Linked DNA regions of Rhinolophus ferrumequinum. Each later gene encodes a partner of the first gene's protein in a complex. Links are inferred from orthologs where the notes say so. Each region holds a gene or a part of one and is shown on either strand. Other genes may lie near its edges.

Region 1 (7,620 bases):
GGAGGCTCCCATAGTAGTCGTCGGCAAAGGGCTCTTGGCCCTGGTCCTTGAAGGTGGCCACCATTCCCTCACTGCTCTGGATGTCCACATCGTAGGCGTAGAAGTAGTCCCCCTTGCGGGTGCCACAGAAATACAAGCCTGAGTCCTCGGGCTGGGCCCGGAAAACCAATAGGCTGAACATGCGAATGCTGAAGCGGACCAGCATGTCACTGCCCACCCGGACCTGGGCCGCCTCGGTCAGAACGCGCCCATCAAAATCCGTCAGCACTTTGGTGTGGCTGCTACCGAGATGCTTTTGATAGTACCAGACTACCGCAGACACCTCCTCGGGCTTGCAGTGGCAGGGCAGCTCGAAGCTCATGTCGGCCAGGTAGGCTGCATTGTCGAACATCAGGAAAGCGGGGCAAGGGGTCCTCTGAAAAATATTCTCCTTCTCCACGATTTCAAAGGCCTGGAGACTCCCCCACGCCCACAGCAGCACAGTGGTGTGGGCCAGATTCATGCGTGCACGAGGGAAGGCTCAGAGTGGGTAGGGCAAAACCAAGGCACTCAAGGCGTATGGGGGCTTCTAGAAATGACTGCCAGAGGAGGCATCTATATTAAGAAAAGATTAAGCCGCCAAGAAAAGCAACCATCTGCAGGGGAAGTGGCCAAAGGCAAGGCAACCGATTCCCAGCTGATGTACGAGATGCCCTTCTAATGTGACAGATGTGATCTCAAGGGAAAACCATTCTAGAACCTGGCCTTCTCTCTCCTTTCTAGAACCCTGACACTCACCCAAGAATGGGTCAGGAGAAACTGGAATGAGAAGCAGGGCGCAGGGGCTAGATGGAAATCTCTGCCTCCCTGCTCCAGGACCTGCCCCGCCTGCCTGGTGGGTAGGTTTTCCCTTTGGGTAATCCCAGAGTTGAAGGAAACCCACCCACCTGCCCATCTGGCCATCTGAAGAAGCCTGGGAGGCTGGCCAGACTTAAATTGATGGCGTGGGGCTTTTCCAGGCTCAATCTGCCCAGGAACTCAGCCCCTGGGATAAAATACCGCGCCTCAGATGAGATAGCATTTGACCGTGACCGTTTGTCAATTAAATGTCCATTCATTGGTTTTAGGTTATAAACAGTCTCGTTAAGAGCTATGGAGGCCAGTGTTTCTTCATCATGGAAGATTAATGATTTTGCTTTTTCGTTTCTTGGGTGGAGGCTGTTAACTGGTGTGGCCAGCATTTGGTTGGGCACGTGCCCATCTCTCAGGGCTATGGGCCACGGCCTTGGCAAACACTAAGGGCAGGAAGCAAAGCTCTTTTAATTTCCTGGGCCCTTGACCATCCTGTGGACCCACACAATTTAGAGTATCGAGCCACCGAGGGGCTGCAGAAGAGGGAAAGATTGAATTCGGGCTTTTACTCTGAAAATTCCAGGTTGAAAGGGAATTAGGTGTGGACTTCTTACTACAGTCCTGCAGAACCCCAAGACAACAATCAAAAAATGCCTCCAGCGACCACTGGGGACCTCTGAAGGTAACTGGTCCTATCAATCCACCTGGTACAGCCCTAGCAGCTCTTGCAGGAGCCTCTCCTCCTCCTGGAGCCCACCAGGCTGCTCCAGACCCCGCTCCTCCGGGCTGAGCCCCTCCTTCACGGGCCTGGGGGCGCCCATGGCTTGCAGCTTTTGAAACAAGCTTCTGCAGCTCTGTCTCTCCACCTGGCTCATCAGGCTCAGGTTCAAGGTGAAGCGCCCGGTACCGGCCAGGCTGTGCAGGATCCCTAGCACCAATGACCGGTCAGCCAGCCTCACGTGATCAGCCAGCACCACCAGCATCTCCCCTAGAAGTCCAAATCCCACATCTGTCTGGAAGAGGTGTCCCAGCTTGGGACCCCCGAGCTGTAGCAGTGCCTGGTAGCGCTCTGGCCCACTCCGCAAGTATCGCCGCCAATCACGGTAGAACTCTGCTGAGGTCTCAGGCTGCAACAGTGTTTTCTCCTAGTTCACAAAAGAAGGAAAGGGAATTCAGAGCTCTTCCAGCTGTTCTGCGACAGTAAGAGTGAGGGAAGCCTGTGGGTTTTCACCTTAGCTCTGGTACTGCTCTCTGAGCACTGGGAAGGCTGTGGTGGCTGGGGGACTCATTCTCAGATGAGGGAAACTAGCGGTGGAACAGGGAGAGAGGGTCCCAAAGAACCCAGGCCATGATTTGAGATTCTTAGTTGTACCAGGATTTTCTTACTGATGAATGTGAGAATAAGTCAGGGTTTACTCTGAGCAGGGCCGAAGGGATGACTGAAAACCTCAAGGTGAGTGTTAAGGGTCTGACAGGCTGGGTCGCCCTCCCAACACTGCCACAGGACCATTATACTATATACCATATAACCTGGAGCACCCCAAATCTGATCTGTGCATGCAAGTCAAAGGACTGCCTGGAGGGGACCTGCGTGGCCTGGCCACCTTCCTGACTTGTTCTGCCCAATGTAGCTCAACCCCACCATCTGCTGGGTGCTTTCCTTTCTGGGATTGGAGGCAGAAACCTGCCTCTGTTGGTTTAACATGAGAAATAAGGAAAAGGTACGTGTTGTAAGAGGATAGGACTGGAGGTTTAGGGCAGAGAATTCTGCTGGGCCTCACCGACCTGACAGATCTCAGTGGTTTCATCCAGGGAGGTCCTTCCCTGAGTAGTGTGACAGTTCCAAGGCACGGTCCTCTTTCCTCCTATCTTATCCTTCCGTTCCAGTGGCTTCAGATGTGATGCAAGGACAATACCCCTGTGGACAAAGGACAGAGATTAGGGGATGGACCTAATGGTGTCTGTGGGTGTGAGGTGGCTGGACTTTGCATGATATTGGCTGAATCTGTTGGCAGGCCAGTATGACAATAACAACAACAGCAACAATAGCTGACAGCTTTTAAGCACTTCCCATGTGCCAAACATCGTGCTCAAAAATCTTACATATAATAACTCATTTAATCATAATAATGGTTACTCTCTTTTACAGATAAGGCATAAAGGCACAGAGAGGTTAAATAACTTGCACAAGACCACACAGGTAGCAGAGGGTAGAGCCAGGGCTGAGCTCAGAATTGTCTGACACCAAAGTACGTGCCCTTATCCACTAAAGTCCACCATAATAGGAGCGTCTGAAAAATGGCATTAAGCCAACCTGAATTCTTCATAGGAAGCCACCCTCTGTTCCACTGCCCGTAACTTGGCAGCATTCTCCCGTTTGTACTTCTCATCAGCAGTGAGTGCAGCCTGCAGCTCTTTCTCCAAAGCCTTGAAGTCGATGATGTCATTCCTTTCCATGGCCTGTGCCTGGGAAGGCAAAGGGAATGGACATCAATGGAGGATCAATAATAGGGGGAAGAGTGTGCATCTGGATTCTTTGCCAGGCCACAAAATAACCAAAAACCACTCTGGATATCTTGTCACTTATGTTGGGGGGGGTGTTACAAAAATCTGATTCTCTAGTGAGCGGAGCTGACGTACACAGTGAGAACTTACTTAAGACTTGTTGTCACTCAAAATAGAGTAGAGTCCTGAATTTCAATTTGGAGCCCAATGTTAATTTTGTCCTCTGCCTCTAAAAATATTTTATTATTGGTGCTTCAGCTGAGGAAGCATTTGGATCTCAAAATTCAGTCCCTTCACTCTTCCACATGGTCTCACTCTATAGCAATTATGAAAGAAGACCTCGCACAAAAGCAGAACTATTGTTAGCTACTCTTGAGCCCAGGGATACAATTTCATCCATAATTAAATGTCTTTAATGGGGAAGGATATTTTTCACCCAAGCCAGATGCAAGGACTGAGCAGGAAAACAAGTAGAAGTGGCAGGCGAAGGGGCTGAATGATCCCTGTCCCCAAATCTTTCCATCCAGTCCAGGGCTGGATCACAGGACCCTAGATATTTGGGCGACCTCTTTAGTTCTATCACTGTACTTCTGCAGTCTCCGCGTATCTGAGGCTGATTGACCCGTTTTATAGGGAGATCACCTAAATGGGTTCTAGTCTTGGCTCTGGCGTTTACTTGCTGTGAGACCCCTTTGAACCTCAGACTCCTGGTGCATTGAGCTAGATTTTGTGGTGGAGTCATCAACAGCCTTAGGACAAAGAACCGAGAGGTCTTCAACCAACCCCACAGTCCTCCCCTTCCACCTCAACGTGGGTAAGCTGAACACCAAGAAGTGGGCTGGGCTGGCCAGGAACTGAACTCAAGTGTCCGGCTCCTGTCCAGTTCTGAGCCCTACCCAGTCATTGAATAAATAGAACAACTAAGCCTACCGCCCCTCTGACCTTCACCCCAGCAGCCCTGGCTTTGGTTCCCTTGCTTTCTTTGGGGATCCCCAGATACGCCGGGAACAAGGTAGCTTAGCCTACCACCCGCAGCAGCTGTGGTTGCCCAGCAACTGCTCCAACAGTCTGCCCACGTGATCGACCTGAAGGCCCCCGTTCAGGATGGTCCCGAGGCGCCTGATCAGATTCAAGCCTCCTCAAGCCTCATTCAATTTGGAAAAGCTCACGCCTTGGTTTGAGGATCCACGAGTCCACCTTGCCAGTTCCTGCGTCCGCGGTCGGCATTCCTCCGAGCTGGTCCTCAGGCAGAGGGCTGCCCTCCGCGGCAGAAACGCGACCGCGGCGGCTTCGGGGTCCTTCCGGACAGCGGGCGCAGGCGGCGGCCGTGTGAGGCGGAAGCGCGGGGCAGCGGCCTACCGGGAGCTGCTGGCTGAGCAGGCGGGAGGTGAGCTGGCGTGGGTCAGCGGCGTGGGGAGGTGGCTCCGGGTGGGATGGGAAATTACATAATGTCAGATCTGGAGGATCTGCCCCTTTCACTTTACAGATCGGTAAATTGAGGCGTGGAGCGGGAAAGGGAATGAAACACACCTTCTCCCCAACACACACACACTCAGATCCCGAGGTTCCCTCAGTGTAGTCCATCCGTAAAATCCCTTACGTGGGCAGGGGTCGTTCTCACTGTTCAGCCCCCCTCTTTCACTCCCTCTTCCATCCGTGCCTTCTTCACTCCTTTGCCCAGCTCCCTCCGTCCTTATTCTGTATTCCTTTGAGAGCCTGCATTATAGCGGGAAGCCGCAGTGAAGTTTGGTACCGCAAGTCACTAGTTTTGTGCACCTGTGGGCAAGTCAGCCCTCTTCTCTGTGCCTGGCTGGAGTCATTCATTCACTCAACAAATATTGAGGTCCTGTTTGTGCCAGATACCGTTCTAAGTGAAGGAGGGGAAAAAATAAAACAGTCCTCACTTAAATTGTAGTTGGAGAGATGACGTTAAACACATGACTAGGTATATCTCAGGTAGTGATAAATGTTAATAATAACAAAAGAGTAAAGGTGGGAGTTGGAGAGTATGTGTATGGGGGACTCTTTTAGAGTGGCAAGGGAAGGTTTCTCAGAGAAGGTGTCATTTTAGTAGAGACCTGAGTGACATGAAGGAACAAGGTATAAATATCCAAAGCAAGAGCCTTTAAGAAGAGAATAGCAAGTACAATGGCCCTGAAGCAGAAGGAGCTTGGTTTGTCCCCGGAACAGCCTTCTATAAAAATTTCTTCAGTCACTTCATGAGTTTTAGGAGAATGAAATGAGCACAGATGGGACAGCTCTTTGGAAGTAAAAAGAATATGCACGTGAAAGTTTCCATAATAATTTACATTTAATTACCATGTTTTCCCGAAAATAAGACCTAGCCGGACCATTAGCTCTAGTACATCTTTTGGAGCAAAAATTAATATAAGACCTTATGTTACGTATAAGATCTTATATATAAGACTTTATATAATATAAGGTCTTATGTTAGATAAGACCTGGTCTTATTTTACTATAAGCAAATAAGAATATATAGTAAAATAAGACTGGGTCTTATATTAATTTTGGCTCCAGAAAACGCATTAGAGCTGATGGTCCGGCTAGGTCTTATTTTCTGGGAAACACGGTACTAGTCCTTGGAGCTCTTAATTCTCTATTTTATCTACAACCAGCACTCAACAGGTGGCATTGAGGGAGGTGGAGGAATTAACTTAGTGTAAGAAATAACAGTATCTCAAAATTAAACATTGCATTCACTTAACATTTATCCCGTTCCTACTTCCGCAAGGTACGTTGGCCAGTGGGCACACGGAACACAGGATTCCTGTGTTTAAGAATGGCCAAAACATAATGCTAACTAACATTTATTGAGCCTGTGACTCGGATAAATTCTTGACAGAGACTATTTTGTTTAATTCTCACAACCTTTCATGCAACGGGAGTTAGTCACTCCATTTTCCAGTTGAGGAAACAGGTTTAAAGAGGTGAAGTAACTTACCTGAAGATACATAGTTATTAAATGACGAAGTTAGGATTCATATCCAGCTTTTCCCATTCCAGAGCCCAGGCCCTTCACTCGTGCTCAGGTCTGTTGTTTATTACTTGTAAGCTGTAGAGTTGTTGCTGAGGGTAATTGGTACAGGTAACTACCACTCCAAACAATTCAATGCTGATAAAGGTACAGAAGGCTGTAGCGGCATAGGGGAGTGAGAGATTGGGGATCTAGGAAAGCTTGAAGGAGGTGGCATTGGAACTGTGCTTTGAATAGAATTTCAGCAATTGAAGTGGAGAAAACCCACAAAATACTTACTCATTGCAAAGAGAAAACTTCCCAATAGAGTAACTTCCCAATAGAAAAACCTGGCAGACACCGATGTAATCAAATGATTAAATTACCATCACCACTAATGGGACAAATTAAAATCATGTACCATGTGATACTAGGAGATGCACTAAAAAGAACACAGCATCACTTCTGTGATATTTCTGCCAGAAATGCATGACTTGAATCTAATCATGAGGAAGCATCAGACAAACTCAAGGAACATTCTACAAACTCACTAGCCTGTAATCTTCAAAAGGGTCGAGTCATAAAAGTCAAGGAAAGACTGAGGAGCTGTCCCAGAGTGAAAGAAGCTAAAGACGTGACAACTAAATGCAAGCATGCAATCCTGGGTGGGATCCTTTGCTGTGCAGGACATTATTGGAACAGTTTGTGAAGCTTGACTGGGGGTCTGTGGATTAGGTGGTGGTTATGTGTCAATATTAATTTTCTGATTTTGATGGTTGCATTGTGATTATGTAAGAAAGTGTCCTTGTTGGTAGGAATCACACACAATGAAGCAGCGGTTGGCAAACCTTTTCTAAAGTAAATATTTTAGGCTTTCTGGGCCATATGGGCTCAGTTGCAGCTACTCAACTCTGCTGTTACAGTGTGAAAGCCTCCGTAGACAATATAAATGAATGAGCGTGACGGTGTTCCAAACTGACGGTGTTTCAGTTATTGTAGATACTGAAATTTGAATTTCATACAATGGATTGATTTTCACGTATCATGAAAAAAATTTTTCATTTTCCAACTATTTAAAAATGTAAAAGGCATTCTTAGCTTGGGGGCTTATAAAATCAGGCAGCAGGCCAGATTTAGCCACAGGCTATAATTTGCCAACTCCTGCACTAAAGTAGTGGGGTAATGAGGCATTGTGTCAGCCACTTATTCTCAAATAACTTAGGAAAAATAAAGTTATTTTTACTATTTTTGCAACTTTCTGGTATTAAATTATTTTAAAATTAAAAAGTATTATTTAAAAAAGTGGAAGA
Region 2 (7,051 bases), on another chromosome or scaffold:
CCTTGCGGTTGAGAGGACGTGCTCCAACCAACTGAGCCATCTGGGAGCTCAGTGGCAGCTCAGCTCAAGGTGCTGTGTTCCATCTTAGTTGCAGGGGGTGCTGCCCACCATCCCTTGCGGGACTCGAGGGATTGAACTGGCAACCTTGTGGTTGAGAGCCCACTGGCCCATGTGGGAATCGAACCGGCAGCCTTCGGAGTTAGGAGCAGGGAGCTCTAACTGCCTGAGCCACCGGGCCGGCCCTGAATATACTTTTTTGTACAAATCTACCTTTTGGTACCATGCTATTGTTTTACATATTTGAAAAAATAAACAAAATCTCCATGATGGGAGAAAAAAATCCTACAATGTAATACAAACAGAAAAAAATGAACCAAAGCATATTTCAAATGAATAACAAACACACTCAAGGGTGAGAAAAAATAAAACCAACTAACTCAAATAACTTTTGAAAATAGTACTTAGAGAACATGCCCTCAGGGTAAAAACAAAAAGAATTCTAAGCAAATATTGAACTCTAGTTGGTAGGCATTATTTTCCAGGAGCATGAAGGAACAATTCTGAAGTTACTTTTTAGAATTCTAGAATTGAACAAATTAGTAAGTATATTGGGGAAATGGAATCCAAGTTCTTCATGGTTGGAGAATGAAGCCAAGTTCTCCATGGTTGGAGTTACAAATATGGAGAGGGGAAAGGATAGAATGAATCCTGTAGCATTAGCTTGGAGATATCAGTGTAAACTCATGAATGTATATACATCTCATCCATTTCCCAGCTCTATCCTCCAAGAGGTAATGATGCCAGAGGAACTATAAGTACACCTAGTACTCAGATCCTGGTTTCTAAATACGTTTCCCACTAGACACTTTGAAAAACAACAACAACAAACTATGAAAGGTGGACTAGAAATTTCACAGCACAGAAACATGGTTGACCCCTTCTTAACCAAATGATCAAAGTCAGCACTGGCAGTAATGGAACTATTGGACAGTATGTACTTCTTCATATTACACACTAAGAACACAGCATCACTTTTGTAGTCTTCCTGCCAAAAGTGCATAACCTGAATCTAAACATGATGAAACTGAAATTGAGGAACACTCTACAAAATAAATAGCTTGTACTCTTCAAAATGGCAATGTTGTGAATTACAAAAAAAAAATGTCAGGAATTGTTTCAGATTAAAGGAGTCTAAAAAAGACATGGCAACTGAATACAAAGCTTGCATGATTTTGAATTTTGCCATAAGGGTATTATCATAACATTGACAATACCTCAGTAAGGTCTGTAGATAATAGTATTGTTTCAATGTTACGTTCTTGATTTTGAAAACAGTACTGTGGCTATATAAGGGAATTCATTGTTGTCCCCATAGGAAAAGGAGAGTAACACCTACACCAAAGGGTTGTCAAGAGCAGTAAATGCACTGATTCACGTACCAAATTTAGCACAAAATATTCAGTAGAGAAGAATATCATTGGGAATTTGGTTACACTGGAGGTTTCACTGGAGGTGGTGGGTTTCAAGGAACCACCACTCTATATTCTCAACCAGAAATACCAGCTCTGGCTGGTAACAGAAACAGAAAGGAAACAGAAAGACAAAGGCTTTGCTATTATGGACCTCAACAAGGAATATATCTGCCAAGGAGGACGCCTCCTGGTTAACTGAGCACAAATTCATAACTAGAGTCTAGCTGCCATTGCCAACAGAAGCCTCTCATGCTCATTGCATTTCAGGGGATGGGGTGGGGTGGTGGGGAGGGGGAGAAGCCACAAACTGAACTTTCAGCCTTGTGTACTGTGCTCCTGTGCTCCTGCCAGCCCACTCTTATAAAAGAGTTCCTGGTATGCCTCTCAAGCCATGGGCTGAGAACTGCACTGCATTTTGCATCTTTGTTGACCAATCAGAGTAGCTCCATAACAGCCAATCATCACATGCAATTCTGACCAATCAGGAGAGTACTACTTGCACCAATCAGACTGTGCACATTTAGATTCCTCATTTGCATAGAAATGGACCAATCAGGGACAAGGGCAGAGACTTTTCTCCATAAAATGCAGCCTCGCCTTTGTCTCTGGAATGCACTGGTTTCTGCTGGAGGCTTTATTTCTGTGGTTGCAAACTGTTCTCTTGAATAGTTTCTCTTCTTCCCATACTCTCAACTTAGGACTTTAGTGAACATTAGGTTGGTGACAGTGAGCTGCTGTTGACACCACATTGCCATAAGTTATTCCAGAGATGTCTAGCTGGACAGTCAGCTCTAATGTGTCTTTTGGAGCAAAAATTAATAAAAGACCTGGCATTATATTATACCCGGTCTTGTAGTAAAATAAGACCAGGTCTTATATTAATTTTTGCTCCAAAAGACGCATTAGAGCTGATTGTCTAGCTGGGTCTTATTTCTGGGGAAACAGCAGCTCATGGAATCTATCCCAAGGTGTCCAAGTTCAAGGAGGCAGGCTTAGAACAACTCGTGGGTACTGTAAGCTGAAGTTATAGCTCCTGCACAAAATAGTGGGGCTCCCAGTTACAGCACCTGATGAAAGTTTACCCTTACATGGGCAGATTAACAAGGAAACTTAGTAATAGCGAATACAATGCCTCAAATTCAAACGAACAACAACTCAATGGCTATCAGGTGCTGGTTCTTTTTGAGGGTGTAAGACACACCACCCCACCCCCAGCCCCGCCCCATAACCAGGACCACTGAGTGGTAGTCCAAGCTGTTTGGGCAAGTGAGTGGTGTCAGGTTGAAACTTTGGCCCAGCTGAGAATCCCAGCATTTTTCAGCTCTGCTCTGACACTGGCTGGCTCTCAGGCTCAAAAAAATGAACTTACAGAAAATTAACAGGAGACAGTCTGTAAAAGGGTGAAAATTTTAAGACTGTAGCGTTTTTACCCTGCCAAGTATAGGTATCACATCCAAGGTTCTGTAGGAGAAGACTGCATTGTTGCCTGGCTGCCTTACCCAGAGGTAACAGAAAATTATTCCGTGGGGCAGACGACCCTGTTGAGCACCGTCTGCAACTGTGGAAGCTGAAAACACAAAAGACCTCATGCTGGACGGGCTTTTGCCTCGGGCCCTGGGCCTGAAGCTGGGCTCTGGGCTCGCGGGGGTGCCCGCTGGCTGGTGTCTGAGGGGGCTTCTCCCAGGTGCACAAGACCGAGTGCGGCGCGGGTGCGGATTCGCCCGAGAAGCCCGAAGTCACACGGAAGCAGCAGTGTCCCTGGACTCGGGGCCATCGCCTCCCAACATGGGGAGACAAAATGGCGACCATGCTCCGAGCCGAAACTACATACGGGTTCCGGGCCACGCTACAACCACAACTCCCAAAATGCTCTGGGTCGAAGGCGGGAGGCAGAGGTCGCTCGATGTGGCGCTAGGCCCTGTGCCCCTCCCCCCTAGCGGAAACCCTCAGGAATACGTTGCCTGCTCTGGTCCCCTCCCCAGTCTTTTCTCGCACTGGCCGACGGGACTTGTAGTTCTTCGGCAAGGGAATTGAACTTCCCTCAGGCCTTAAGAAACTACACTTCCCGGTGGGGTTTCGGCGCCTGCGCACAAGACCGCGATGCGTACTACGATTCCCGGCGGGCTCTGCGACGCGCGCGGCTGCGTGCTGACGCGCTTAGTTAGTTGTGCTGACGTGCAGCGCGGCCCAGGCGAGGTGCGAGTGGCGCAGTCGGTGCCCGCTGCGGCCCTTGAGGAAGCGAGGAGGCGTCAGTGTCGGCTGAGGCGGCGGCTCCAGGCCTCGAGAGACTCGGGAGCTTGAGTAGCGGCAGCGACAGCATCTCTTTCTCTCGGAGGCGGCGGCAGCGGCGGCGGGCGGCGGCGGCGGCGGCGGCGGCGGGTGAGAGAGGGAGCGCGCGAGCCGGGTGGGGGAGGGGCAGTGGCACCGGCGCGAGGCCAAAACGCGCGGAGAACGGCCTAGGCCGCCGCGCGCACGCGCTCTCGCCGCCCCTAGCTCGCGCGGACGCTCTCGCTTGCCTGCCTGCCTCCCCTCCCCCCTCTCGCGGTTCCTGTCGCGCGCGGGCTTTTACTCTCACCCCTCCCCCATGGCAACGGTGCGCGCCGCCGACTGCACTCGGTCTCGCGCGCGTTCTGGGCGAGGAGGGGGGAGCGCGCGACTCGGCTTCTAGCCTCCCCCACGCATGCAGCCGCGGGGGCTTTTCTGCAGCTGCCCCTTCCGGCTTTTTCTTGGCGGGGAGGGGCCGGCAGCGACGGGGGCTTGTTCTCGGATCCTTTCCCTTGCGCCACTCCGGCGTCCGGCTTCCCCATCCCTCCTGGGGGCCTGTGGTCGGGCTGGGAGCCTCCCAGACTACGGGGCGCCGCGCAGCCCCCTCCCCCATCCCTGAAAGCCGAAAATAGGCCTTGGCGGCCCAGTCTGTGTGGAGAAGGCCTTGAACTAGATGCCCCTGATATTTAGATCGTTCGGATTCGTTAACTGCCGTGAAGTATTAGGGAGAGAAAAGCCCCAAACCTTTAATAAAAAAATTTAGCCTAGAGCAGACCAGATGCTTTTCTCCCCCCCCCCCCACTTTTTTATTATCTCCCCAAAAGTGTTAAAGCTAGGAAGGAGGCTGTTGGAGCCCTTCCTTTGAAAGACAACACTGGACTCTGTTTCAGGCATTATTTGGCACACAGCTCTCCTGAGCCTTGGTTTCAGTTCACGCTTATCTAAGATGTCTTCTGGATCAAAAATTCGAAGAGTCTGTATTGTTGTTTTCCGTCTTAAGTGTGTGTGCTTAGGCCTTTTCTTGAACTAAGATTTTAAGTTTTTGGGTTGCATAGTGTCCGCTCAGCTATACAATGCAGCAGTGCTGAGAATGCCGTGCTTACCTATGTCCGTTTTCCTGCGCTCCCCACCACCACTATCCCTTTTGGTGCCTTTTGCTTCTTGGATATCTTAATACTGAATTTCAAGATTTCACTTCCTCCGCCTTGTTAGCTTGGCATCGTGATAATTTTCCAGTAGAAAAAATTGTATTTTGTCTTCTTTTGTAGCTTTTATTTTCTATCTTTAGTTTGAGTAACTTTTGCATACCCGTAGTCTGTGGACCCCAGTTTAAGACTCCCTGTTTTATAAAGTTAACTGGTTTTTGGTGGGGGGGGGTGTGTGTGTGTGTTTACCCCTGGTTTGTCCTTTTAGTGTTTCCAGCACTGCCTTGGATGCTGTGGTTTGTGGGGTTTTTTGTTTTCCTTTTTTTGTTTTCCCTTCCGTTTTTTTGGCTCATTCCCTTAAAGTTCTCCAATTCATTGTGACTTAATACCCTTTGCTTAGCTGTTGGTTTAACCTCCCTAGGGAGTGGGAGGATTATTGTGTGAGCCTGTATGGAAGTGTGGGTGAATGGTTAAGTCGAAGAATTAATTGCAGGTCAGAAGCATTCTGCAAGGGAAGCAGAAATTAGGTGGGGTATAGAGAGGCAAAGAGGACAGTTTTAAGAGTAGGGAGGATTGGTATTTGAAAAAATGAAAGTGAGGTTTGGAAGGTACAGAAACTGATTTCATGTTACAAAGAAGTTTTTCATTGTGCATTTTCACTTGGCCTTTTCTAGATGTAGCCTCATCTGTCGCTCTCTTTACCCTAGTATGGTTTTTTTTTCTTTTTTTTCCCCTCTCTCGAGTCTGCTATTGGGATTGGGCAGGGACCCAGCCTTAGAGTTGGGAGGTTGGGCTAGCTCCCTTCCATCAACATCTTGCTGTCCTTTTTTTTTCTTTCTTTTTTTGCACTTTAGAACATTTTCCCAGACGTTTGCATGTTTCTTTTTTCTTTGGTTTAAAAAATGTAGCATTCCTCTTACCCAATTCAGTATGTTTTCCCTCTACTTTTAACTAATTTATTCACTTTGTTCCTGGGTTTTTTTCCTGGGGTGGTTTTCCTTGTACATTTATGCTCTGAAATTATGTTGGCCAGGATGAGTTGGAGAAAGAAATAGAGTGTATGTAGCATGAGAAAGGAGTATGAGTACGTGTAGCCAAGAAATCTAACCAGAAAAACGGGCTTGAGGGCTCTTCAGAGTCATGTTGGGGTTGGGACAGGTTGAGGGGATAGAGGATAGAACCTACTGGGAGGCATGAAGATAACAATATGAAAGGGATAAAGCAGGGCTGGGAGAGAAAAATTAGGAAATGAGATACAGGGGACTGATGGGGAAAGCTGACACCTTGACATCAGTGAAAGTGAGGTATAAAGAGTAGGAGTTTTCATAATAAGTTTAAGGCAAAGAATCGTAGAGAAGGTATGGGAACCATATGAACAGAGGAGGCTGGTTTGATATATTTAGAGCATTATGTTGAAAACAGGTAATATTTAACAGGTGCTAGGGAGATTTGGGTGAGCTGCCAGTCTTTTGGGAAATCCCATTGGAAGGAAATTGAAGAAATAAGGCGTTAGGGTAGTTGATAGGAGGTATAAATATTTGGAATCGAGGAAATGGTCCTTCACCTGGGAAGTAAAGGACAAGAATTATATATCCAGGGTTCATGAGTTTCTGGTGTGCATGTTGGCCTTTAGTCTGGGTGTGAGGCTGCACAGGATACTTCTGGTTTATCTCTAGAACTGGTCTACCTGTTAGATATGTAAGGGCTGTTTGGTCCATTTTGTGTTCATAACAGGGAAGTCTGAAATCCTGGGATTAGTTCTTGGAAGAGTCTTTGGACTTGCACTGCAGGCCCTTGGGAGCCACAGGTCTGGTGCTCGTTGTGCCTGGTTTGGAAGCCTCAGTTACCAGAGGTTAGGAATTAGAGTAGTTAGTGGAGACAACACTTGTGCATATTTGGGCCAAAGGAGAATAAAGGGACAGTGGAGAAATTTGAGAGAAATAGGATCCCTGTTTGCTTAGCGTGGAAAAAAGGAGAAAATCTACGTGCAAGTAGGAATGGTTCTTGGACATCGAGAGAAAAGGCTGTAAGAGCTTAGCTATGATGACTTGGTGGAAAGAAAGCAGTGTGGGAAGGATGGAAGAAGGTTTCGTTAGGAATCCAGGAGAATTGTGCAGCTAAAGGAGATTCAGTGTGGAGACACATGTTGACATAGGGATGAAGATGAGC
Region 3 (7,951 bases), on another chromosome or scaffold:
TTATTTGTAGAATACATTCTTTTCTATCCCTATCAAGAAAGACAATTAGAAATAGTTGATGTCCACATAAAATAAACAAACAATAATATTCACTGATACTTTAGCCCCAGGGCTCTGTTAACTTTGTCTTTCACATAATATGGTCCGAAGAGACCTGAATCATCTAGAAATCATATGGAGCATCATATTGATCCATTTTATCAATGACATCATGCTGATTAAACGGGTTGAACAAGAGGTGGCTAGCAGGCTGGAGGCTTGTGGTCCACAGCATGGGACATTAACACTATAAAGAATCAGGAACCTGTCCCTTCATGAAAGGTTTTAAGGGACCAGTGTTCAGGGCAGTGCTAGAACATTCCCTTCAAAATAAAAGACAAATTGCTGCATCCCCTACAAGACAGGAGAAAGCAGAGTTCCCAGGAGGCTGCTTTGGATTCTGTAAGCAACATACTCCACGCTGAGGAATATTTTTCTGGCCCATGTGCTACGTGACATAAAAAGCTCCCAGCTTTACAAACTGGCAAAAGAAAGGGCTCTGCAGCAGATTTGAGTAGTGGTATAGAATATGGCAGATTCTATGTCAGACTTGTGAGTTTTAGAAAAGATGCAGTCTGGAGTTAATGGAAATCTTAGTAGAAAAATCCCAGGTCGGATCCCTGGGGTTCTGGAGCTAGGTTGCACATCTTTTAAAAATTAGCTCTTGGCATGCTAATGGTAAAGAGACAATGCTTGACCAGGGGATACCAAGTGACACAAAATGAAATGTATCTCGTTGAACACATCCTGTTATAAATTCTGAGGGGCCCTGTTGCAATTCATCACAAGATAAAAGAATTCCATTTGGGATGAAGCAAAAAGAAGACCAGAGGGCACAAACAATCTGCATGATTGTTGCATCAGTACCCCTCAGCTCACACTGATGGCCATATGGAGTAGGAGTAGTGTCTTCAACAATTAGTTAAAAGAAGAAAAAATGGCTGAACTTAGTTTACAGATGAGTTGGCTAAGTATGTGGATGAAAGTTGAAATTGGACAGCAGCTCCATGACTGACAGCCTCACTCAGGAACAACCTTGAAAACAGAGGAGAGGGACAGTCTTTCTAATGGGCAGAGTGTCAGGGGTGCACCTGGTCATCCCCTTTGTGTGGAAGGAAAAGTGACCCAATGTTGGGACATAAACAGATTAAGAGGCAATGGCAAGTAGCCTGGCTGGCTGGTCAGAGGGCTGAAAAGGAAGAGATTTAAAAGACTGCAGACACTGAGGTCTTACAGGATTAGAGGTATGTGGATACACAACATATTAGTGTGAAAAGTGAGCAAAAAGTACGAAGATTTTATTATCACATATCAATGTCTCAGGAAGTACACATCATGGAAGAAACACTACACAACCAAGTAAACAAAATTACTCAGCTGGATGATGTTAGCCTGTCTTTGTTAGTGGCCATCCCAGTGCTGGCACAATGGACACTTGAATGAAATGACCATGGAGGCAGAAATGGAATCTAAGCATAGGCCCATCAGCATGCAGCCTACTTACCACAGCTGACCTGTCTACTGCTTCATCTGAAACCTCAACCTGCCAGCAAAGGAGACCAATATTGAGCTCCTACTATGTCATCATTCCTTTAGGAGATTATGTAGCCCCTTGGTGGAAAGTTGACTACACTGGGATCTTTCCATCCTGAACAGGACAGCAGTTCCACCTCATGGAAATAGATTACTTATTTTGGGTATATATTTGCATTTCCTACCAAACAATCTTCATCCAGCACCACTATCTGAGGACTTACAAAATGCGGGGTCCACATATGTGGAATATAATACAATGTAGCATCCAAGCAGAGAACCACTTCACAGCAAAGGTGCTGCAGGAGGGTACCAGTGATGATGGGTTCCACTGGTTGTATCACATGCTGCATATCCCAGAAGCTGCTGGCCTAATAGAGCACTGGAATGGCCTCCTAGGGGTGCAGTTCAAGCACCGGCTAGGAAATAATACTCAGCAAGAATGAGGTGCTGTTCCCCAGGATGCAATAGACCTTGGTATGGCAGCTCAGGGTCCCTAACAAGAACAGTGCACAGGTCCAGGAAACAAAGGATTAAAACAGGAATAGCCCAATTCACCATCCTTCCCAATGACCCATTAGGGGATGTAGTGTTTCCCGTTCTTGCAACGCTGATCTTTGTGGAATTAGCGGTCCTAGTCCCCAAAGGTGGCATAGTATTGCTAGGGGATTCAGCAAGAGTCCCACTGAATTGAACATCATCTGTTGCCTAGACACTTTGCACTTCTTGAGTTCAGTGACAAGTAGGCAAGAAGAAGGCTTAATGCTTGGCAGGAGAAGCTAACGCTAATCAGCAGGAGAAGGTAGCCTTGATGTTATACAATGGGGAAAAGTAAGCATATGTGTGGTATTCAGGTGATTCACTTGGGTACCTCTTAATAATTAAGGGGATTCACTTGGGCACCATCATGACTGTAAATGGGCAAGTACAGCAACACCTGCCTGAGAAGGAGTTTATTACCAGGGGCTCCAATTTCTCAGGAATTAGGGTTTTCACACCACTGTTTAATCACTGAGACCCACAGAGGTGGTACATGAGAGTGAGGGAAATTTAGAAGGAATAGTGGAAGAAAAAAATAGTGAGTTCAGCTGTAGCTCCGGACCGACTGCAAAGATGGGGGCTGTAGTTTGTCCCCTAACTTCTTTTCTCGGTTTCCCTTCAGGAAGAGGCCCATTGAAACCCTGGAGGAACTGTTCCCTGAATGTGTATAGAGAGTGGATCTACCTGGTGGACTGTGACAGACACAGAAGTGTGCTGCTCAGACACCTCTTCAAGAAAACATGCCTAGTTGTGAAGAGTGTCATTAGGTGACAGCCTTCTACTGTTATCATTTTCAAGTCCACCTCAGCTTTTGATTTGAAGCCTCTCTTCCTGAAGTGGCTCCAGCCAATGACTGAGCAAGATTGTGTTACAAGGGCCTATCACTTTATTGCAGTGTGGATAAATGATACCCCTGTCCCATCTAGTTTCCTCCCTTTTCCTTTCACTTTTTTACATTCTTAACTCTATCTCACTGTTTGCTTCCTGGAAGACCCAAATGATAAACCTAAGTCTTTTCTAGCTCTATTAAGCTCCCCTAGGCTCAACTCTAACTTTCCTATTTCTTTTTATAACAGTAGAGGTGGTATTGTGCTTTTTTCAGATGTGCATTGTCATGCAGGGTGTCATGCGGGGGTCTCAGCTCCCGCTTCCCACCTAAGAACGCAGGACATGCTGAGGCCAAAGAGGAACACCCACAGAGCCACAGATAGGGGAGTCATACCACTATATTCTCGCTAGCGGCTGGGTTGGAGACACAGGAAGCAGGAGCTACACTATCCGCAACCTGCTGTCCATTTCTCTCTGCCAACCAACCTCACTTGCTAGCTAACTACACTCTGCGCTTGCTAGCCACCTTCTTCTTGCTAGCCCCCATTTGCTGCTAGCATAGCCACAGCAGTTATATTAGTGGCCAATGGCTCACTGGTTACAGCTGACAGCCAACTAGCCACAGCTGATGGCTATCCAATCACAGTTGATGGCCATTTACTTCCTGAACCAGCACCTTTCCACGTGAGGCCGAGAGCCTGGAAACTGCACTCCTGGCTCTGTCCCCACAGCATACAAACGTTTACCAGGTTCATCTTCTGTGTACTGTATTGGTACAACTAAAATCAATTCACTTAAATATTTTAAGACACCAAAATGCACTTTTACCGATAGCCAAATCTCTTAAATATTAAAAAAATAGATAATACTATTATATAGGAGGAATTATCTCAACCACAACAACTGTATCAACTAATTCAATTCTTAAAACTACTCTGTGGGGCGGGTACTACTATTATTCCTAACAATCAGGAATCACACACAACAGTGTGACATAACCTACTCCAAGGTCAATCATCCATAAGTATATCAATAGATTCGTGACGTAAACATAAGTAGTCTGGCTCCAGTGTCCTCCGTAGCATTATACTCTTCTGCCTCTAGGAAAGGATTGGTAACACCAGCACACTAAAACTGTAATAGAGAAGTGTTTGGAGAAACCAGGCCTGGTTTAGACAAGGTTCTGGAACATAAAGATACAGTCGTTTTAGGGAATGCTAGATCTCAAAACAGTAACAAGTAAGTGACACTTTAGGTTTTGTTACTATTGAAAAGTAAAGCTTAAAACACATTGATGTTTTACCTCTTATCTCTCCACAGATAGCTATTTCCAAGTCCGCCAAAAAATGTCCTTCTCATCATGATGTCTGGCCAGCTGGTACCTTACCCTAAAATAGAAGCATCATCTTCTACAGAATTAGCTTCTCCTCATTACTTCACGCCATTTATGGTCCAATATCCTCCCACTTACTTGGGCTTGACATCTTGGAATTTAGTAGGCACTTAACAGTTGGAAATATTTTTGTTTATAATGGGTTCTTGATCTAATTACCGTAAAAAGTCTGAAAAGGGTGTCTGCTGTTCTTAAGATTTTCACGGAAAATTACTACTACGGTCTACTTTTTACAACTGCAAATAAATAGTTTTGAAGTATATTTTGCTTCTTCCTAATCACCATCAGGCTCCTGACTAGCCGCCTGAAAGCACTTTCCGTCGCTTATCTGAAGAACTACAATTCCCGGCGTCCATTGCGGCCTTCTCAAAACTAAGACAGTAATTGCTTACGTCATTTCCACCCTCACAGGCGGTGGATGCTGGACTTTGTAGTTTGTATCAACTTCTCTTTTTTGTCGCCGCCTTGGGAAAGGGAAAACGTGGCCGGACACACTGCTCTGAATCTGGTATTATGATGTGTTTTTTTAAAAAATAAGTAGGATAACGTATCAAAGCCAATGTAGCATCAGGTTTGTATGCATTTCACGTCCCGCCTTCCCCCTACTGCCGGGGCCGGGAAGGGGAAGTGACGTGTATCCGGTGTAATGGCGGCGCGGTGGAGCTCCAGGTAACTATCGAACTCCGTAGACTCGCTGCAGCCTGCGAACCGTAGTGTGGGTGGTGGGTTGCCGGACAGGGTGGGTGGTGAAAGGTGCCCAGGAGTGGGTGCGGGACTGCCGGTGCGGCCATCGGTGCCGCCGGGGTGCGCGTGGCTCTCTTCCGGCCGCGCGCCGGCTGGCGAGGTTGAGGTGTCAGAGCTGGTCGGGCGGAGGAGTCTGAACGGGTGGGAAACTCCCTGTCCGCCTGCGCGGACGGACCTCGCTTCCTCCGAGGTTCCTGGTACTGTCTCTCCACACTGCATTTGTTCCTGAAATCCAGCACCAACGCTGGCTCTCTCCTGTTGTGTGCAGTGCGTTTCGGCCGCGGATTCCTTCGAGCCTCTCTAGTCGTTTCGGCTTCCACAAGGCCCCTTTCTCAGTGCCCGGCCCCAGACTATGGGAGTAGGATTAATGAACTGTATAGTTCGTTGAAAAATAGAGTAAATTTCATTGTGCCTTTTTCCGGCGTAATTTCCCCGTGACTGCTCCTTAAAATTTCATTAGTCGTTTCTTTTTCATACATTTGCCGCGTAAACAGTGATTCTTCCTAGTGTTTAGTCCTGCGGACTCTGTTCCTCAGTGTGCGGAGTTCTTCCTCTGTCATACTTGACCATCTCATAAGTTGATCTACCTCCAAAAATGTGATAATTGCCAAACTTGGGTCTCCATTCTCCTCCTCTTACCGAGCTCAGAATCCTACAGTACACTTGCATATATAATGGTAATCTAATGGTTAATTTCACTGAGTCTTTTAACTGCAATATCGCTTTACCTATTTTCACTTAATCCTCACAGGTCTTTGAGCTAAATGGAGAAGGAAAAAAACTAGGGAAAGGCTATTTCAGATGCAAGAATTAGGTGATTGAAAGTGCGGTAAGAGTGCCCTTTGCATTTTTAGGCGTCCACAGACTAAAAATAGGTAAACAAGCAATCTTAGGCTTCAGAAGACCAGGTAACCTGCCTTAACTGTATTTAGACTTGTCTTGTTTTAGGATTGCCTGTGAACTGAGGAGTTAACCTCAATTACCATCCTACTTTGGAGACACAGATTTACAATTGGCATTAACTGTGATTTTGATGTAAAGAGGAGTTGTTAACCTGCAGCATCTGTAGGAGGAGGAGACCTACTTGTGTTGATACTGGGTGATGGACTAGTGAACCCATGATTTCAGTCTTGCTTCAGCACGTGTTAGGTCTGTCACTTGGGGCAGGTTACCTAACATCCGTAGTCTGAAAAATGTGTGTAACAGTAATACCTTGTTTTGAGGATGAAGAAAAATAACGTGTATAAGGCACTCTGCACAGTGCCTGGCGTATAGGTTTAGCTATTATATTACAGTTACTACTATGGTAGAGTTGATGAAGTCACTCTGTGCCTCAGTTCTTGTTCTTTGGTTATGAAGGTTGCCCTTCCACTTTTAAGTGTCCATGCCACTTTCACGGAGCCTTATCTGGCTGAGGCTCTGAGACTTCAGAAGCCAAGAATCTTGATCTAATAACCTGGCCCAGTGATTCTGAATATCTCCTGAATCAGCAGCATCAGTAGCTCTGTGGAACTTGTTCAAGCAATGAAAATTATTGGGCTTCATCCTAGTCCTGTTGAATCAAACTGGGGAGTAGGGAGTCCATCAGTCTCTTTTTAATCAAACCATGCATGTGATTCTCATGCCTGTTAGTTTGAAAGCCACTGTTCCAGCCCATCTCCTAGGGATCTGATATGGTCCAGCCCCCGCCCCACCCCCAGAATCAGGTTTGCTGCCTTCCTTGCTTCAAAGTATTTGAGCTACAACCCTATTACTTGTGCCCCCACGTCCTTCCCTACTTTGGATAGTTTAGCTCCAATCACTTCCGGAATTCTGACACTTCCTAGACTACTTAACCGTCTTTCCTAAACCACCCTTCTTAGCTTTGTCAGTTTTCGCAGCTGCTGGATTGTTAGAGGTTAACTCTCCTTCCTGACGATTGAACATTGCCAAGTGGTCTACAGTGGCTGTTGTAGCTGAGACCACCTAAGATAGTACATGGTAACACATTGTTACTTAAAATGCCCATGCCTTAATTTGAACATGATTTTCTGTTTGTTGCCCACTTGTATTTAGACTGCATTTTGTATTCTGTGGTGTATCCCTAACTTGTTAGAAGTCGTGGCTAGCCTAGAGTTAGTTTAGGGAAAAAGTGGTTATTGGTAATATAGCTGATCCCACTGATGACTTTGAGGGCTTCCTTATTGCATTTCTCTCCTTTTCTGTTCAAGTCTGAGAATCCTAGTATGGGAAGGTGATGGAACAAAAAGACCTCTGGCGTATTAGTTTCAGCAAACGTCCAGACTTACTAAATCTATAACCCTAAATGTTTTATTTTAGTATATGCATTTCTCAGGTGGACATTGAAGAGACATTTCAATGCCGACAACAAACTTTCAAAGCATTTTCTTCAAAAATAACACATCAGAAGAGGAAGCAATGGATTAAAGCAAGCCTTTGCTGTTTGTAGCCAAGCTAGTAAGACTTTCCCAGTTAACAGATACCAAAAACATGGTGTGAGCTGCCTTGGCCTGGGGACATATGGGCCTCTGTGATTATAGAATGGGTTAGCTAATGGGAACGGGAGACCTGGTGAAGATTCACGTTTAACTTGACTTTGAGCCTGACTCCTAAATGAATCAGGCTAGACAGAATTCAGCACTTCCCTCTGAAAAGTTACCTTAGGAGTCAGTCCTTCCCTGAATTAGTTTGTCAGGGCCGCTTTTTCTCAGGAGAGCTGGCAACAGGAGCCTCTGTGGTGGAATGCAGTGCTATGTGTCTAGGGACTACTCGATAAATCTTGGTGGAGGCCAGCACCTCCAAGTTTTCCTTAGAACTTAGAACGTGGTTCACTAAATGGCTCTTTAAATAAAAATTAGAAAGCCCACTTTCAGA
Region 4 (6,877 bases), about 10 Mb from region 1:
CCCAGGGGTGAACCCCATTATTGGTGTCTACACTCGTAAATCCAAGGAATTGTTCCAGGGCAGGTGTGTGTGGGGGTATGTGAACAGAGCTGGGATTTCCACACCATGTGTGAGACCTGTCCTGGTTAGAAGAGAAGGAGGGGCGACCCCCATTGGAACTCTAGCACCAGGTAACACAAATGTTAGGGGCAGACCTGGATGGCTTTTTAAAAATTGAAATCACACTTATCTATGACGTACTCAGGAAAGAAAAAGTGTTACTTGATTCTATCAAGCCTTTTGATCTAATTTCTAAATTACAGGAAATAAAGGGGACAGAAGACAACGGAACAATCTAAATGACACCATAAAGAGGCAACTGTCTAGACAATTTGGAAGGCGGGAGCTTCTGCAGAACTGGTCTGGATCCTTCGACAATTAGTCTTATGAAAAAAGGGTCTACTAATGAATAAAAGATAACTTATGCAGTGACTTATTTCCGAAGAGTACCATATGGAAAGATAGGGCGTGGGGTAGAGTAACTTTACAGTAGAGAGACCTAACCAATACTACCTCAGCCGAGTGACCAAGGTCACCATCAACAGTAGTTAGTCATGTCGGTAGCACATCCCTTTGATATGATGTGAAGAGAATGGCGCTTTACCTCCATGGTCACCCTCCCCAAAAACCCTAAGCCAGTCTAATCATGAGAAAGAAAAGAAAAATCAGGCAAATCCCAACTAAGGGACACTCTACAAAATACCTGACCTGTATTCCTCCAAACTGTCAAAAAAAGGGAAGTCTAAGAAACTGGCACAGCCCAGAGGAGCCTAAGGAGATGTGACAACTGAATGTAATGTGACATCCTGGATGGGATCCTAGAACAGAAAACAGACAGGGGAAAACTAAGGAAATCTGAATAAAGTACGGGCTTTAGTTAATAATGCATCAATATTTTGGTTTATTGATTGTAACAAATGTACCATACTAATGTAAGATGGTAATACCAGGGAAACTGGGTGTGGTATTTATGGGAACTCGCTGTATTATCTTTGCAATTTTGCTAAAACTGTTCTAAAATACAAAGTTTATTTAAAAGAGAGACAGAGAGAGATTGAGATCTAAGGGTGCAACAGATTAAATGCATGGGTCCTGAATTGGATCCTGACTCATACAAACAACAACAAAAATGTCTCTTTGGGAACTATTAGAGAAATTTGCATAAGTGGGTACTAGGTGACAATGGAATTCTCATCGGAGGTTTCTTTCCCTACATAAGATTCCTTTCACTATATAAAGACATGTTATTTTTGAAAGATGCGTGCTGAAAAAATAATTGTTGTTTGCCCTTAGAATAAATTCCAAACTCTTTCCCATGGCCTAGATCTAAGACCCTAAGTTCTGGTGCCGCCTCTCTAACCTCACTTTGCACCACTCACTGCTTCACTCATCACAATCCTGCCCTAGCAGCCTTCCTTCTGGCTCCTTCTGCATTAAGGTCCTCACCCAAGATGCACCTCTGCCTAGAATGCCTTCCGATGACGGCCAAAACGGAAGTTGCACCTACCTCCTATTGCTCTGTCTCATCATCCTGTTTATTTCCTTAAGAGCCTCAGCTTTTTGGTTTGTCTGCTCACCACCAGTCTCCTCCTACTGGAATGTAAATTCTTGAGGGTAAAGACCTTTCTCAACTTGTTCGCCATCTCTCCAGCATTTAGAACAGCACCTTGCTCACACAGTTCAGGCCCAATAAATGTATGTCCAGTTAATGATTCAATAGATCTTAGACCAAAACAAACACAGGAACCATAAGCCATTCCAAGTCACGTCTACTCCTCCTGATGTTAAAACATTAAAATAAAGATGTTTAGGGCAGCCGGCCGGTTGGTTCCGTTTGTTAGAACGCAGCGCTCAGAACAACACCAAGGTCACTGGGCCAGTGAGCTGCGCCCTCCACAACTAGATTGAAAACAACGACTTGACTTGGAGCTGATGGGTCCTGGAAAAACACACTGTTCCCCAATAAAATTTTTTTAAATAAATAAATAAAGATGTTTAAAAGAGCACTCAACTTTTTTCCCTCCAAGTGGCTTCCATCCTTTCCCCCACTTACAATCTCGTCACTCAGCCAGCAGGCGGGAAGGCAGACACGAAGAGGGAGTCCTGCGCTTAAGTTCCAGACCTGACTCAAGGTAGCCGTGACTCGGACAATCTGTGAACCGCGAAGGTGGCACCGATGTCGCCAAGGTCGGCCATCGCCGCAGCTGAGGGACTACGAGATTCCTTTCCCAACTACTCACGTCTAACTCACTGATCTCACCACAGCCCATCAGGCATCTGGGGGACCGGACCCGTCCTTACCAATAGCAAACTCCACCAGGGTCTCATTCTCCTCAGACAGCGAATCGAGGAATAAATCTAGGACCTGCAGCTGTCGCAGATACTGGTAGTTGCTGGGGTCATAGGCGAAGTTGGCGAGGTTGGCCAGGACTTGCTCCTTGGCGTCTGCAACGGAAAAGCGACACTGGAGCCAGGTCCGGAGTGCTGTCACGCCGAACCCCTGGCCCGTCCCCTGGCCCCCACCCTGTCGCTCACTTTGGCTCTCCGTCTCCTGGAACTCCGTGACCAGCGCCTGCAGGTATCCCAGCCGTCCGACGTGGGGCTCTACCTTCGGCTTCTGGGACATGGTCGGGGCGGCGGGGTGTCCACGAGGGACAGGCAGGGAGGAGTGTGGCAGATGAAGCCGGAAAGCCCGGCGAGAACCTCACTGGGCCTCACCGGTGCGGGCAAAGGCGGACCGGGACCGGAAATAGGTTCCCTTCCTGGCTTCAGGTTCTGCGGTAATTTGCAGCTGGAATTGAGATGTGGGGAATGCGGCGGGTTATCAGGATCCTGTAAGAGCTGGGCGTGAAAACCTAAATCGGGGCGCGGGAGACTAGGATACGACTGCGCGCCGGGCGAGGAAGAAGACCACCCAGCCCCGGTAGTGGGCTGGATTTTCGGTTCGATTCTGGGTTTCCGGCGGAAGCGGCGCGTACCTCCTCCCCGGAAGGCGAAAGGGGCGGGGCCGGCGCTGAGCTCGCGCGTGCGCACTGCGCTTCTGCCCTGAGGCGCCGGCTGGTGGGGTGCTGCGCCGGCTGGTGGGGTGCGGCGCCGGCTGGTGGGGTGCTGCGCGTGTATTGAGCAGCCCCCCCAGGACCCTTAGCAGCTCACGGGCGCCTCTGTGGGGGCTAACTATGCAGAAGCATCTCCAGACCCCCTTGCATCTGACGAGGCGGCGCAGGCCAACCTCCTCCTCGAAGGGACGCCCCTCCGGAGTGGGCGTCGGCTCCTGTGCCCCCCATAGGGGTCCTTTGAGGATACCTTCTGGTCGGCTTTTCCAAAAGGCCGGGCGAACCTGGCACCCCCTGTTCCCCAACCCTGAGCTGAGTCCGCTATCTCTGTCTCTGGCCAGACATATCGGGAACTGAGTAAAGCTCTTTGTCAGCCAGGCGAGTGGAGAGCGCTGGGGCAGCACCGGCAGGCAGTAGGAGCTTCCGTTCACCTGAATATACCGTCTTGGCGGCTTTCTGGGTCGTAGAGCCCTGAATGCTGAAGCTGTTTGGCCCAGTTCTTTCTTGGGGCTCCTCAGGAAGGTGGTGTGTGACCGAGACCGCGTAGGCGCAGGGGATAAAGGACCAGGGAGGGAAGTGGCCCTGCCGTACTCCCATCGTGCTTGAAATGAACGGGTGAAGGGGGCTTGGGCTGTGAGCTTCCTGAAGGCAAGGACCATGTTCCTTTGGGCCTGAGCCTAGCATGAGGACAGAGCAGCCACCATATTCCAGCTTGCCGTAGCCTTATTGGGAGCAGGCCCCACCTTCGTGCGCTCCGATCCCTGTGGCCAGCCCCTGCCCTGTACACACCCCCTGGGGCAGGAGTTATCACCACAGTCTGGTGCTTGGGTACCATGGCTGCTTCGTGAGGGCGGTGGCCACTGATGGCCTCACCTGGCCCTTCTGCTTCTTTGGGGAGCTGATGCGATCTGGGGAAGTACATCTCAGCCAGGGGGCTTCTCTGCCTCTGGATGGACAAAGGCTTGAGGACAGGATGCAAATGCTTTCCACCCTATGCTGCGCAGGAACTGCTCCAGATCCTCTCTAGAGGATTCCCAGAAAATCAGCTGTGTGTTCTGGAATCAGATGGGCCACCCATCTCGCTCATTTGTTCCTAGGGGCCCTTCTCCTTGAGGGAGAATTCTCAGTCCTTGATTTTGTGCTCAGGGCAGCGACCGGTTCTTATTCCTCTCTGCCCAGTCCCTGGCACACAGTAGATGCTTCATAAATATCTGTTGAAGGAAGTTTGCCTAGAGAATATTGCTACTCTTGCCCAGCAGCAGATAAGGTCAAAATTCCTTATGCTGAATGTTCACTGATATATTTTTTCCTTAAAAGAAATCTGTTTTAAGGAAGTGGGCCTCTAGGGGATGTACATTTCAAAGCCTGGTAGCTACTAGCAGCAAAAGCATTTACCTACTCACCAGCCCCAACTACCTCCGTGTCCCCTCCACTAAGATGGAGGAGGTAGGACTTGGTAAAATGAAGCTTTCCCCCTTCAGTGCACAAGCTGTGGATGGTGGCCAAGCACAGGACTAGAAGAGACTAGCTTATCCACGTCAACCTCCCCCTTTTTCAAAGCCCAGAGATGATGAACAATTTGCCCCAAGTCACATAGCAAATTGTGGCGGAATCAAATGTGAACACAGGTCTCTCCCAGCCTAGAGCCCTTTGCTTCACCTCTGCACTATCTTCTGTGGCCATAAGGGGGCACTCATGGCAGCGTCCTGGAGAAGACAGGACGTCCCCAAGGATGCTTACTCACGCCAGCTGGACCCGTGGAGGAAGGCTAGAGTTGGGTCATGAAAACAAAACCAATCCCCCTGATAAGGTTTTTCTTGTTGGAGCCTGGTTAAGCCTGAATCAACAAGGCTCAGGGCGTGAGCAGCCTTTGCCAAGCTGGGAGAACTTAAGTGGGGGAGGGGGACTTACTCCAGGCCTGTTTTCCTGCTTCATTAGTTCTCAGGGTTTGCAACCTGCTGCAGGAAACATTTTTGTGTATAATTCAAACTGTTTTTCCATTCCCTGGGTTGGTACCCTGCTAGAACAAACTGGGCTGATGACAGCTAGCCCCCAGGGGGTGACCTCGGGGAAGGGCACCAGCAGAGTGTGTGTGTGTGTGGAGCTCTGGCCTCCAGGCCACAGGCACAGGCCAACAGGGAGCAGGGGTGGACTGGCAGCTGGCCCAGACAGCTACTTACTCCACCCTAGGGTTGATACCTCTAACCCAGCAGGGAGAACAGGGTGGCAGGAGGGGAATAGAAGGGCTTCTGTTGCAAAAGCAGCTCCATTTTCAGAGGTCCTTGGGCCCTGCCTAGCAATCCTTCTCACCTGGTCAGTCAAATGTCTGGCTTTCCCCATGCCCAGCATTAATCTTCCCAGCCAAGATACCAGGGGCGGGGGGGGGGGGGGAGGACAAAGGAGGGAGGGAGACCCTGGAGCAGGATCTGCTGGTGTGCAGGGGGCCCCTTGACTTCACTGATTCTAGGACCCAAGTCAGGGGCTCCCCTCCAGTTCTCTGCACAAATGACAGGACAAGTACTCCACCAGACATTTAATTTTTCTCAACCCTGGATCCAGGCCAACTCCTCAGCCTGGCCTTCCACCACGACAGGCCACAAGGCCTTTCTTTTCAAGGTTCCAGTCAACATGAGACCCAGCAACTTGTCCTGGGGACACCCTAAGGGCAAGGGCTGGGTCACTGGGAAGAAGGGCGGCAGGAGGGCTTCGGAGGACAGGCAAGCTCTTTGGAACTGTCTGGAGTTCGGAGAAGGCAAAGAGATCACATCAGAGGCATATAGACTGGACTTGAGGGTCCAGTGTGTTAGTTGTAGCAGCAGCAGTGGGCAGCCAGCTGAGCAGAGCCGGCCATGATGGACGCCAGCAGGGCTCAGACCCACTTTTGTGGGCCCCAAGTACTCTGGTGCCCAAGGAAAAGTCAGGAGGACCTGCTCCTGGATTCTGCTCACTGGAAGGGACCCAGAGTCTTCGGAGGCCAGCCTCCAAGGTCCCAGCTCCTGGCTGAGTCCCAAAGTGCAGAGCCGAGATGGTCTTTGGTTCAGGCTTTCTGAGCAGGACTTCATCACCCCAGCTGCTGGAGAAGCAGCTGGAGATCCCATTCCTGGGCTGAGGCAGTGGTCACTCATTGACCTCGGGGCTCAGACGCTGGTCACATACATGATTTCAGTGGATGGCTGCTTCTCAGATCCATCTGTGCCCTCCACGGTGAGGGCCCGCTGTGGGGCAGCCTCCACGGTGGCTGCTTCCGCCTCTGCCTGCCTGCCCTGCTTCTCCTTCTTTTGCAGGGCACAGAAGCTGCCACCCATGAAGAGAGCAGCTGAGATGAGGAAGAAACTTGACATGTAGAAAACGTAGCTGAAGTTGTTGTTAGTTGTGTCCAGGAGGAAGCCTGGAGGATAGAGAGCAAGTTAGTCCACTGTCTGGAGCCACCAGGCCTCCCCCTGCCACTAAACTGTGTGCTCTGAGAGAGCGGGGACTTTATTTTTGTCCCTGCTGTATCCCCAGTTCTAGGAATTGTAGTAGGCACTCAATAAATAACGTTGAATGAAAGGAGGAGAGGAAACCCTAAACCTCTTCTGGTCCAGGCAGGAAGAGTCCTTAGGCCAAAGGGAACTTAAGGCCATGTCTCTCTTCCCCTTGGTGGCAGGAAACCAAGGAGACAAGGGCCAGTGGAGTCTGGGATATCTGCTCGGCCACGCCCTGGGCCCACCCATACACCTCCTCCTGGAAAGCTCTCTCTGCTTGCTGGCTTAGAGAATGCCCTTGGAAACTGGCATTTGCAACTC

The links.
Region 2: EFTUD2 (region 1) and SRRM2 share a complex: the UniProt entries of both Homo sapiens proteins name them as parts of the minor spliceosome. The link is inferred for Rhinolophus ferrumequinum from reciprocal best matches to the Homo sapiens genes EFTUD2 and SRRM2.
Region 3: EFTUD2 (region 1) and CWC22 share a complex: the UniProt entries of both Homo sapiens proteins name them as parts of the minor spliceosome. The link is inferred for Rhinolophus ferrumequinum from reciprocal best matches to the Homo sapiens genes EFTUD2 and CWC22.
Region 4: EFTUD2 (region 1) and ARMC7 share a complex: the UniProt entries of both Homo sapiens proteins name them as parts of the minor spliceosome. The link is inferred for Rhinolophus ferrumequinum from reciprocal best matches to the Homo sapiens genes EFTUD2 and ARMC7.

The regions. Positions count from the first base shown.
Region 1 is NC_046304.1:39,769,652-39,777,271, reverse strand, and holds the start of EFTUD2 (116 kDa U5 small nuclear ribonucleoprotein component), read left to right. Parts: upstream 1-4,602; 5' UTR 4,603-4,723; intron 4,724-7,620. Other genes in the region: Ig-like V-type domain-containing protein FAM187A, read right to left, coding at 1-502; CCDC103 (coiled-coil domain-containing protein 103), read right to left, coding at 1,527-1,976, 2,617-2,749, 3,146-3,288. UniProt on the Homo sapiens protein: Required for pre-mRNA splicing as component of the spliceosome, including pre-catalytic, catalytic and post-catalytic spliceosomal complexes. Component of the U5 snRNP and the U4/U6-U5 tri-snRNP complex, a building block of the spliceosome.
Region 2 is NW_022680357.1:4,399,089-4,406,139, reverse strand, and holds the start of SRRM2 (serine/arginine repetitive matrix protein 2), read left to right. Parts: upstream 1-4,041; 5' UTR 4,042-4,056; coding exon 4,057-4,065; intron 4,066-7,051. UniProt on the Homo sapiens protein: Required for pre-mRNA splicing as component of the spliceosome. As a component of the minor spliceosome, involved in the splicing of U12-type introns in pre-mRNAs.
Region 3 is NC_046291.1:46,208,426-46,216,376, forward strand, and holds the start of CWC22 (pre-mRNA-splicing factor CWC22 homolog), read left to right. Parts: upstream 1-4,947; 5' UTR 4,948-5,002; intron 5,003-7,951. UniProt on the Homo sapiens protein: Required for pre-mRNA splicing as component of the spliceosome. As a component of the minor spliceosome, involved in the splicing of U12-type introns in pre-mRNAs. Promotes exon-junction complex (EJC) assembly.
Region 4 is NC_046304.1:50,175,860-50,182,736, reverse strand, and holds the start of ARMC7 (armadillo repeat-containing protein 7), read right to left. Parts: upstream 3,008-6,877; 5' UTR 2,666-3,007; coding exon 2,575-2,665; intron 2,485-2,574; coding exon 2,341-2,484; intron 858-2,340; coding exon of another isoform or gene 766-857; exon of another isoform or gene 320-765; intron 1-319. Other genes in the region: SLC16A5 (monocarboxylate transporter 6), read right to left, coding at 6,230-6,480. UniProt on the Homo sapiens protein: As a component of the minor spliceosome, involved in the splicing of U12-type introns in pre-mRNAs.